2 linked regions of the Astyanax mexicanus genome follow. The protein of the gene in region 1 interacts with the protein of each later gene in a pairwise test. Links are inferred from orthologs where the notes say so. Each region holds a gene or a part of one and is shown in the gene's direction. Other genes may lie near its edges.

What was found.
Region 2: the proteins of asl (region 1) and mini-chromosome maintenance complex-binding protein interact in binary tests that used the Homo sapiens proteins (3 or more experiments, as listed by UniProt). The two-hybrid records come from large-scale screens. The link is inferred for Astyanax mexicanus from reciprocal best matches to the Homo sapiens genes ASL and MCMBP.

The regions. Positions count from the first base shown.
Region 1 is NC_064424.1:10,202,234-10,206,171, reverse strand, and holds the start of asl (argininosuccinate lyase), read left to right. Parts: upstream 1-1,423; 5' UTR 1,424-1,758; coding exon 1,759-1,773; intron 1,774-1,941; coding exon 1,942-2,136; intron 2,137-3,814; coding exon 3,815-3,898; intron 3,899-3,938.
Region 2 is NC_064414.1:37,678,951-37,682,888, forward strand, and holds the start of mini-chromosome maintenance complex-binding protein, read left to right. Parts: upstream 1-1,078; 5' UTR 1,079-1,225; coding exon 1,226-1,283; intron 1,284-1,656; coding exon 1,657-1,742; intron 1,743-2,958; coding exon 2,959-3,099; intron 3,100-3,691; coding exon 3,692-3,733; intron 3,734-3,938. UniProt on the Homo sapiens protein: Associated component of the MCM complex that acts as a regulator of DNA replication.

The DNA.
Region 1 (3,938 bases):
ACTGCAGTGGGCTAAGGAGAGGCAATCATGGACTGTGGATGACTGGATGAAAGTTATCTTCAGTGATGAGTCAAGAATCTGCATTGGACAAGGTGATGATGCTGGAACTTTTGTTTGGTGCCGTTCCAGTGAGATTTATGAAGAGGCCTGCCTGAAGAAAACAACCAAATTTCCACAGTCCTTGATGATATGGGGCTGCATGTCAGGCAAAGGCACTGGGGAGATGACTGTGGTTAATTCTTCTATCAATGCACAAGTTTACATTGACATTTTGGACAGTTTTCTCATCCCTTCAATTGAACAGATGTTTGGAGATAATGAAATAATTTTCCAAGATGACAATGCATCGTGCCATAGGGCAAAAACAGTGAAGGCATTCCTTGGAGAAAGACACATTCAGTCGATGTCATGGCCTGCAAATAGTCCAGCTCTCAACCCAATTGAAAACCTGTGGTGGAAATTGAAAAAAATGGTCCACAAGAAGGCTCCGACCTGCAAAGCTGATCTGGCAACTGCTATCAAAGAGAGTTGGCACCAAATTGATGCAGAATACTGTTTGTCAGTCATCAAGTCCATGCCTCAGAGACGGAAAGCCGTTATAAAAGCCAAAGGTGGTGCAACTAAATACTAGTGATGTATTTTGAATCATCTTTTGTTTATCTGTTTTTCATGATTCCATACTTTTTTCCTCAGAATTGAGTGATTCCATATTTTTTTCCCTGTGGTTGGTCAATAAAAGTAACATTCACTGACTTCCACAATGTTTTTTCTTCATTTCTTTGAGTGTTCCTGAAAGCCAACAAGTTGCACTTTGGAATGACCTTATTATTGTATCATGTTTTTGATCAGAGTTTGTTTTACAGAATGAAATGTCTGAAGGAGTGCTCATCCAAGACTGGTGATTCCATACTTTTTGCCAGGGGTTGTAATATAGTTTACACATAATGTGTAATACAGTAGGCTTACTTTTCTAAAACACATATTTTAATGAAGTGTTTTATTAACACTTTTAAAATGTGTAATATATAGAAATATTAATAAAAATAATTAAAAATAATGTTTATTGTTTATCTACTACTACTACTACCACTACTACTACGAATAACAACAATACCACAAGCACTACTACCACTCCTACTTCTACTACTACTCCTTATAATAATAATAATAATAATAATAATAATGTATTTGTAATATTATTTACACATATTGTGTTATGCAGTAGGTATGGTAAGTCATAATTATAAAGATAATTCCCCTTAGACTCTATCTATCTCATAATCATGACTTAATTTTTTCCAAGTGTCAGAGATGGGAGTGTGTTTGAGAGGAGGAGGGATATAATATGGGGTGGAGTGTTTGTGAGGGGAGGAGTGTGTTTGAGAGGAGGAGGGATATATTATGGGGAGAAGTGTTTTTTAGGGGAGGGATATGTTGGATATTTGTAAACCAGCAGGCTGTGGCAGCTGTTGCATCAACTGACTGACACTGGTTTGTGAACCTGCATTTCCACGTTAATGATCCTGTAACTGTTAATTAATCTGATTATTTGCCTTCCTTTGGGCAGAGCACCTGCTGCGTGTCCAAACCACAGAACACGTTCCAGGTAAACACAATAGCTAACTGAGTTCATGAGGCTTTTCTTTATAGGCAGCCAAAACACAGCAGCAGCAGTCTAGCCAAGTTTACTAACCTAGCTCTCAGTAGCTCCTACAGAGAGAGAGAGAGAGGAGATAGCTGGACTGGAGAGGAGGGAGCATGGCAGGATCAGAGGTAAGAGCTCTTATAATCTGAATTACAATACTTATCTCTGTTTTTCAGAGCTGATCTGTTTACTTATCTTGATATATTTAGGCAGCTGTTAGCCACAAGCTAGCTTAAAGCTAACCTAAATTTAATGTAAGTCCTCCTAGCTAACTGTCATGTGTTCCTGCCGAGCAGGGAAACAAGCTGTGGGGCGGCAGGTTCGTTGGAAACACTGATCCAATAATGGAGAAATTCAACGCGTCCATCGCTTACGATCAGCGCATGTGGGATGCAGACATTCGGGGGAGTAAAGCTTATGTGAAAGCTCTGCAGAAAGCTGGACTGGTCACTCCGGAGGAATTGCAGCAGATTCTTTCAGGCCTTGACAAGGTTAGATACCTGTAAACTTCAAGCTCAAGTCTCTGTGACTGTGATCCAACACGAGGATAAAACTTTTCTTTAGGGTGCATCACATCTTTTAAGGTTGATGATGGAAAAACAACCTATAAACAACCTTTATTTAACACAGAACAATAGGCATTAGTTAGTGTGAAATAGCTTTAAAAGGTTGTGACTTCTCTACACTATGCTTGTAGTTGAAAGGTGTTCCCCTCAAATAGTAATAATTAAATGTTTTACACTGCATGAACACAATACAAACTAGTAACAAAGAATACAATAAATAATAATAATAATAATAATAACTATTATTATTTTTATTATTATTACACCTGTAATATTATTTACACATAATGTAAAATATAGTGGACTTACATTCATAGACACCTATTTTAAATAATTAAATAACACTTTTAAAATGTGTATTATATTTGTGTTATTATTTTTATGTAAATATTAATAATAATCAAATTAAAAATAATAAAAGCAAAGTAATACAATTTTTCATGTTGTACCTGGTACTATGAATAATAATAATAATAATAATAATAATAATAACAACAATAGTAATAATAATACACTGGATAAACCTTCATTGATTTGGATGCACATCTTTTAAGGTTGATGATGAAAAAACAAACAACCTTTAAACAACCGTTATTTACTTTTGACTGGTAATGTATCTGAATAGAATACAACCAAAATTTTCATTGATGTCAAATCAAATCAGTGTTGTTTCAGTGCATTAAAGATGGGAATTAAACGTTAATTTAACATATTTTTGCTATCAGGTAGCATAGGGTGTAAGGGTGAAGTGAGAAAAACGGATAGAAAAAGAGAACAAGAGCCAGTTCATGTGCATTTCATGTGCTGTAAAGCTTTGTGTTCTTTAACTAGATGTTAACTTGTGTCCTAGCTGTGCCATAGTCCATTTTTCACTTCTCAGTTATACTTTATATGTAGTGTTTAGGGATTTACAGAATAAGCTGTCCCAAACCAAAACTGAACAATGTTTGAAGGCTGAATACGGAATCCCAACAGACATGCCAACAAAGCACAATATGACTTAATGTTAAAAAATGCTATGTATTAAAAAAAAAAAAAAATTGCACCCAAAGTACTTTTATCTAATTTTTGGCCCATTCATTTCAGTTGGAGAATTTTCAACAATGTGTTTTAGGCCAAAACCATATCTCACATATCTCTGTTTCATGTAATAATTTTCAGAGTTTAAGCATTTAATGGCATGAAACTTCCATTTAAATGACATATTCCAATCAAATCACTATGTGTGGCTGCTTACGTCTCAGTATTGTACATATAAAACTATTTTGAAATGTTGGTGGAGTTCCCCTTTAATGTTTCCCAGACAATAGTGTGCCTTGGCCCAGTCCACAGCTGTACTTTCATATAAACACAACAATAGTGGACACTGAATCATGTGACGATGCTGTTGGCAAGTGCCTATTGAAAAATATGCGACTCTGTTTCAGCAAACTGTATTGTTGAACTGCTGTTGTGTTGTGATGCTGACTAATAAAATCCATATTATTTGAAACTTCCTAGTTAAGGTTATGGTTTCGTAAGACGGGCATTGTGTTGCATAGTTGGATCTTGTTGTGCAGGAAGTTCAGAAATGCGTTAATCTGTTTCTGTTGCATAAAATCAGGTTTTTGGTGAGTGGTCCAATGGTGAATTCCAGATCAAGCCTGGTGATGAAGATATTCACACAGCCAATGAGCGCAGACTGAAGGTGAGGCCTGTTTCATTGTCTTTGAACACATCACTACTTA
Region 2 (3,938 bases), on another chromosome or scaffold:
TTTAAAAATTAAAATTAATTGTTTAATTATTTTTTAATAGTGTCTAACAACATGTCCATGACATTCCTTTAAGTATTTTGCTAAAAAGCAAACAAAAACCTACATTCACACTATCTGTCAAACATTTTAGAACAACTAAATTTCCTTTTTATATTTGCCATTTAAGGTCTTCAGGTCCAGTCAATAACCGGAAATGGTACCAAATCCAATGTGTTAAATGGTAAAATTGTGATTTTTAGCAAAAACAAACAAACAAAAAAAAACAACAATTGGTTAACAGCTTACAGCTGGTAAGTAGCAATGGAAATAAACTGAGCTTTATACAAAAATAAACAAACCTTTGTCTATAGTAAAGCAGTATTGGAACAGATTGTGTTACTGCACACTCTACTGCAGTATTTTTACAACACACAGTTCAGTACTGATACGGTTCAATGAAATAGGCTAGTGAGGATAAGGTGCAAAGATACAGCTCTGAAATAAAATAAGAGACCACTTAAGAATGATGTGATGCTTTGATGTTGAAAACATCTGGAATATAATCAAGAGGAAGATGGATGATCACAAGGCGTCAAAACAAGCTGAACTGCTGGAATTATGGCACCAGGATTGGCATAAAGTTATCCAAAAGCAGTTAGAAAACCTGGTGGAGGAGAACATGCCAAGATGCATGAAAACTGTGATTAAAAACCAGGGTTATTCCACCAAATATGGATTTCTGAAATTTGGAATTTGGGAGAAATGTTTTCTGTAGTTTATAGAATAAAACAACAATGTTAATTTTACTCAAACATCTACCTATAAATAGCAAAATCTCTTATTGTGGTCTCATGATTGTCTGGGCCATACACTACTGCTTTAGGACAACTAAAAATAGGTGTACGTTTGTAATTTGCTATATTTATAATTTTATAATAAACAAACATTTATCAATTATGATTTTGCCCAACTGCTCCATGTGAATCCATTCTTTGTTGGTCTCTCTCGGGAGCGCCCCCTGGTGGAGTAGAGATGTTTAAGTGGGTCTTCTCCTCTCTGGAGGTTCTCTAGTCACAGCTCGCGCTCACGGTCACATGAGGCTGTTCGTGACGCAATTTTCCCGCCACCAAGAAGTGTGTGTGTGGAGCGGAGGAAACGAGTTTGCAAAAAAAGAAAACGGCTTTTTTGAAGTAGTTTAACTTTAAGAACGAGGAGACTTACTGCAGTTTCTGGAAGAGCTTCAGCCATGCCTTCAGTTCAGGACTGGATAAACAGCCCGCTGGGCGCGGTGGACGCGCTGTTCGGTAAAGAGCTGCAGTTTAACAGCAGCAGGGCTCTGGCTCTGTCTCACTGCTGACTGCTGAAACGTGGGGTTAGCCTGGGCAGCATGCTAGCTAACATATGGATAGGTTGGCTCACCTAAGCTAGCTGAATAATTCTCTTTATTTAAATAGCTAGTCTGGTCACTTGAAGCACAGCAGCTCGTGTGTGTGAATTATTAAGTGTCTGTTATTTTCCATATATACCTCGTTGTTTAATTAAAGTTGTTAAATTCTGTTACAGACTGGCAGCATGGGGCTAATTTAGGTCAGCTAACAGAGGCGTTTAGATATGAAACAGGAGCTGCTGCTGTGATTATAAAGCTGTGTTTCTGTAACGTTATTCTGTGTTTTTCAGCTCAGAACAGTTCCAGGTCAGACTGGGAGAGGAAGATTGTGGAGTATTTCAAAGAGAAACTGAAAGTAAACGATGCACAGTCCTGGGTAACTTTTTAATCACGCACTTTGTTTATAAACACGGACTATGTGGAATAATAATAATAATAATCAATAATAATAATAGTAATAACAATACTACTACTGCTACTACTAATAACAATAATAATTAGCATAACAATCAGAATAATAATGACAATAATAGTAATAATATCATCATCATCATCATAACAAAATTCGAGTAATAGTAATAGTAATCAGAATAATATTAATAATAATGGGTATAGTGATAATACTGAAGAAATTACTGATAATGATGATAGTTATCATCGTCATTACCATTATTATTATCTGTATTATCAGTAATAATAATAATAAGAAGAAGGATAAAAATTAATAATCAGAGTAATTGTAGAAATAATCAGAATAATATTATTAATAAGTGATGGTGATAATATTGATGATGATGATGATGATGATGATATTATGGATGATAATAACAATAATAATAATAATTATTATTTTTTTTATTATTATTATAATAATGAGTAATAATGAGTATAATATAAAAAACAATAATAATGACATAGTATAATCTGAATAATATTAATAATAATAGTGATGATGAAGATATTACTGATAATCATGGTGATTATTATAATAATCAGAATATTATCAACAATAATATTGATGGAGATAATACTGAAGATATTACGGATAATTTTGATGGTATCATCGTCATTACCATTATTATTATTATTATCTGTATTATTATCAGTAATAATAATAAGAAGGATAAAAAATAATTATTATTAAAATAATGAGTATAATATAATAATAATAATAATAATAATAATAATAATGACACAGGATAATCTGATTAATATTAATAATAATAGTGATGATGATAAATTAATTATAGTGATGCAGATAATATTAAAAATATTGCTGATAATCATGATGATTATTATAATAATCAGAATAATGTCAACAATAATATTAGTGGGGATAATATTGAAGATATTACTAATGATGATGATAATTCATTTTTTTTACGTGTTTAATATTGATCTACAATGTATAAAATAAATAAACGAAAAACATTAAATACGAAGGTGTGTCCAAAATTTTGACTGCTACTGTAACTGTAATCTTGATTGAATTGCTGGTTTGTTATATAAATAACCTTGTTTTAAGTTATTTTTGTATGTAACACGTTTGTTTGGTTGTGACACTCCAACCAAACACTGTTTGTGATGTTTAGGTTCCCTCTCTGAATGACGTTCCCCTGCACTATCTGAAGCCCAACAGTCTGGTGAAGTTCCGCTGTATGATCCAGGACATGTTTGATCCAGAGTTTTTTATGGGGGTTTATGAGACAGTTGACCCTTCAACAAATTCAAAGGTGGGCAAAAATATTGTCAGTTTATCGTTTTTTTGGCCGAAACACCTTACTATTTAGCATTAGTAGATTTAGTGTAATTTCTTTCATCCATCCTTCTTTCAACACCCTGTTATTAGTTTATTTTTTATTTTCTTTTAGTGAGCACTTAAGTTCATTGAATTTTTTTTTGTCAATTTTGTTTGTTTGCGTACAAGGGCAGTCACTTTTTCCTCATAATTCTATAATTGTGCTTTATGTACCTTTTTTGTTATTTAATAAAGCAGCAGGTATGGATTTTGCCTGGTAAGACGGTGGTTATAATGGTCTAATGCATACACCTGAACAGGCAAATGGCTGCATTTGTAGCGTGTTGTCTGATGTGAGTGCAGCATAATTGTTATTGTGTTCATGTTGAAATACATTTAGAAATGACAAATTGAGCTGCAGTGAATCATGTTGCCATATTATTCAGTTAATAGTTTGTATGTTTAAATACATAATATTTATTTTATCTAATATAGATGATTAATAAATTATAGTTTAAAATTGAGCATATGGTCCTTGTTAATTTATGTTTATTAAATCTGGCTTTTTCTTTTTATTCATTTGTCAGGTGCTGAGATGTGGAAAATACAAAGATGTTACTGATTGTGGCGTGAGTATCTATCTTTCTCTCAATATTTATGAATGGATTGTTGCATGGTCACTTAGTCTACTGTTAAAGTGATTGTTTCTGTGTAGTATATGCTTCAAATAGTATTTAATTTAGCAGTTATACCTAGTAATATTTCTGCAAACATTTAACACCTATTCTCATGCAGAAAGTCAGTCACTCTCTTTAACCTTAATCAATGGTTCTA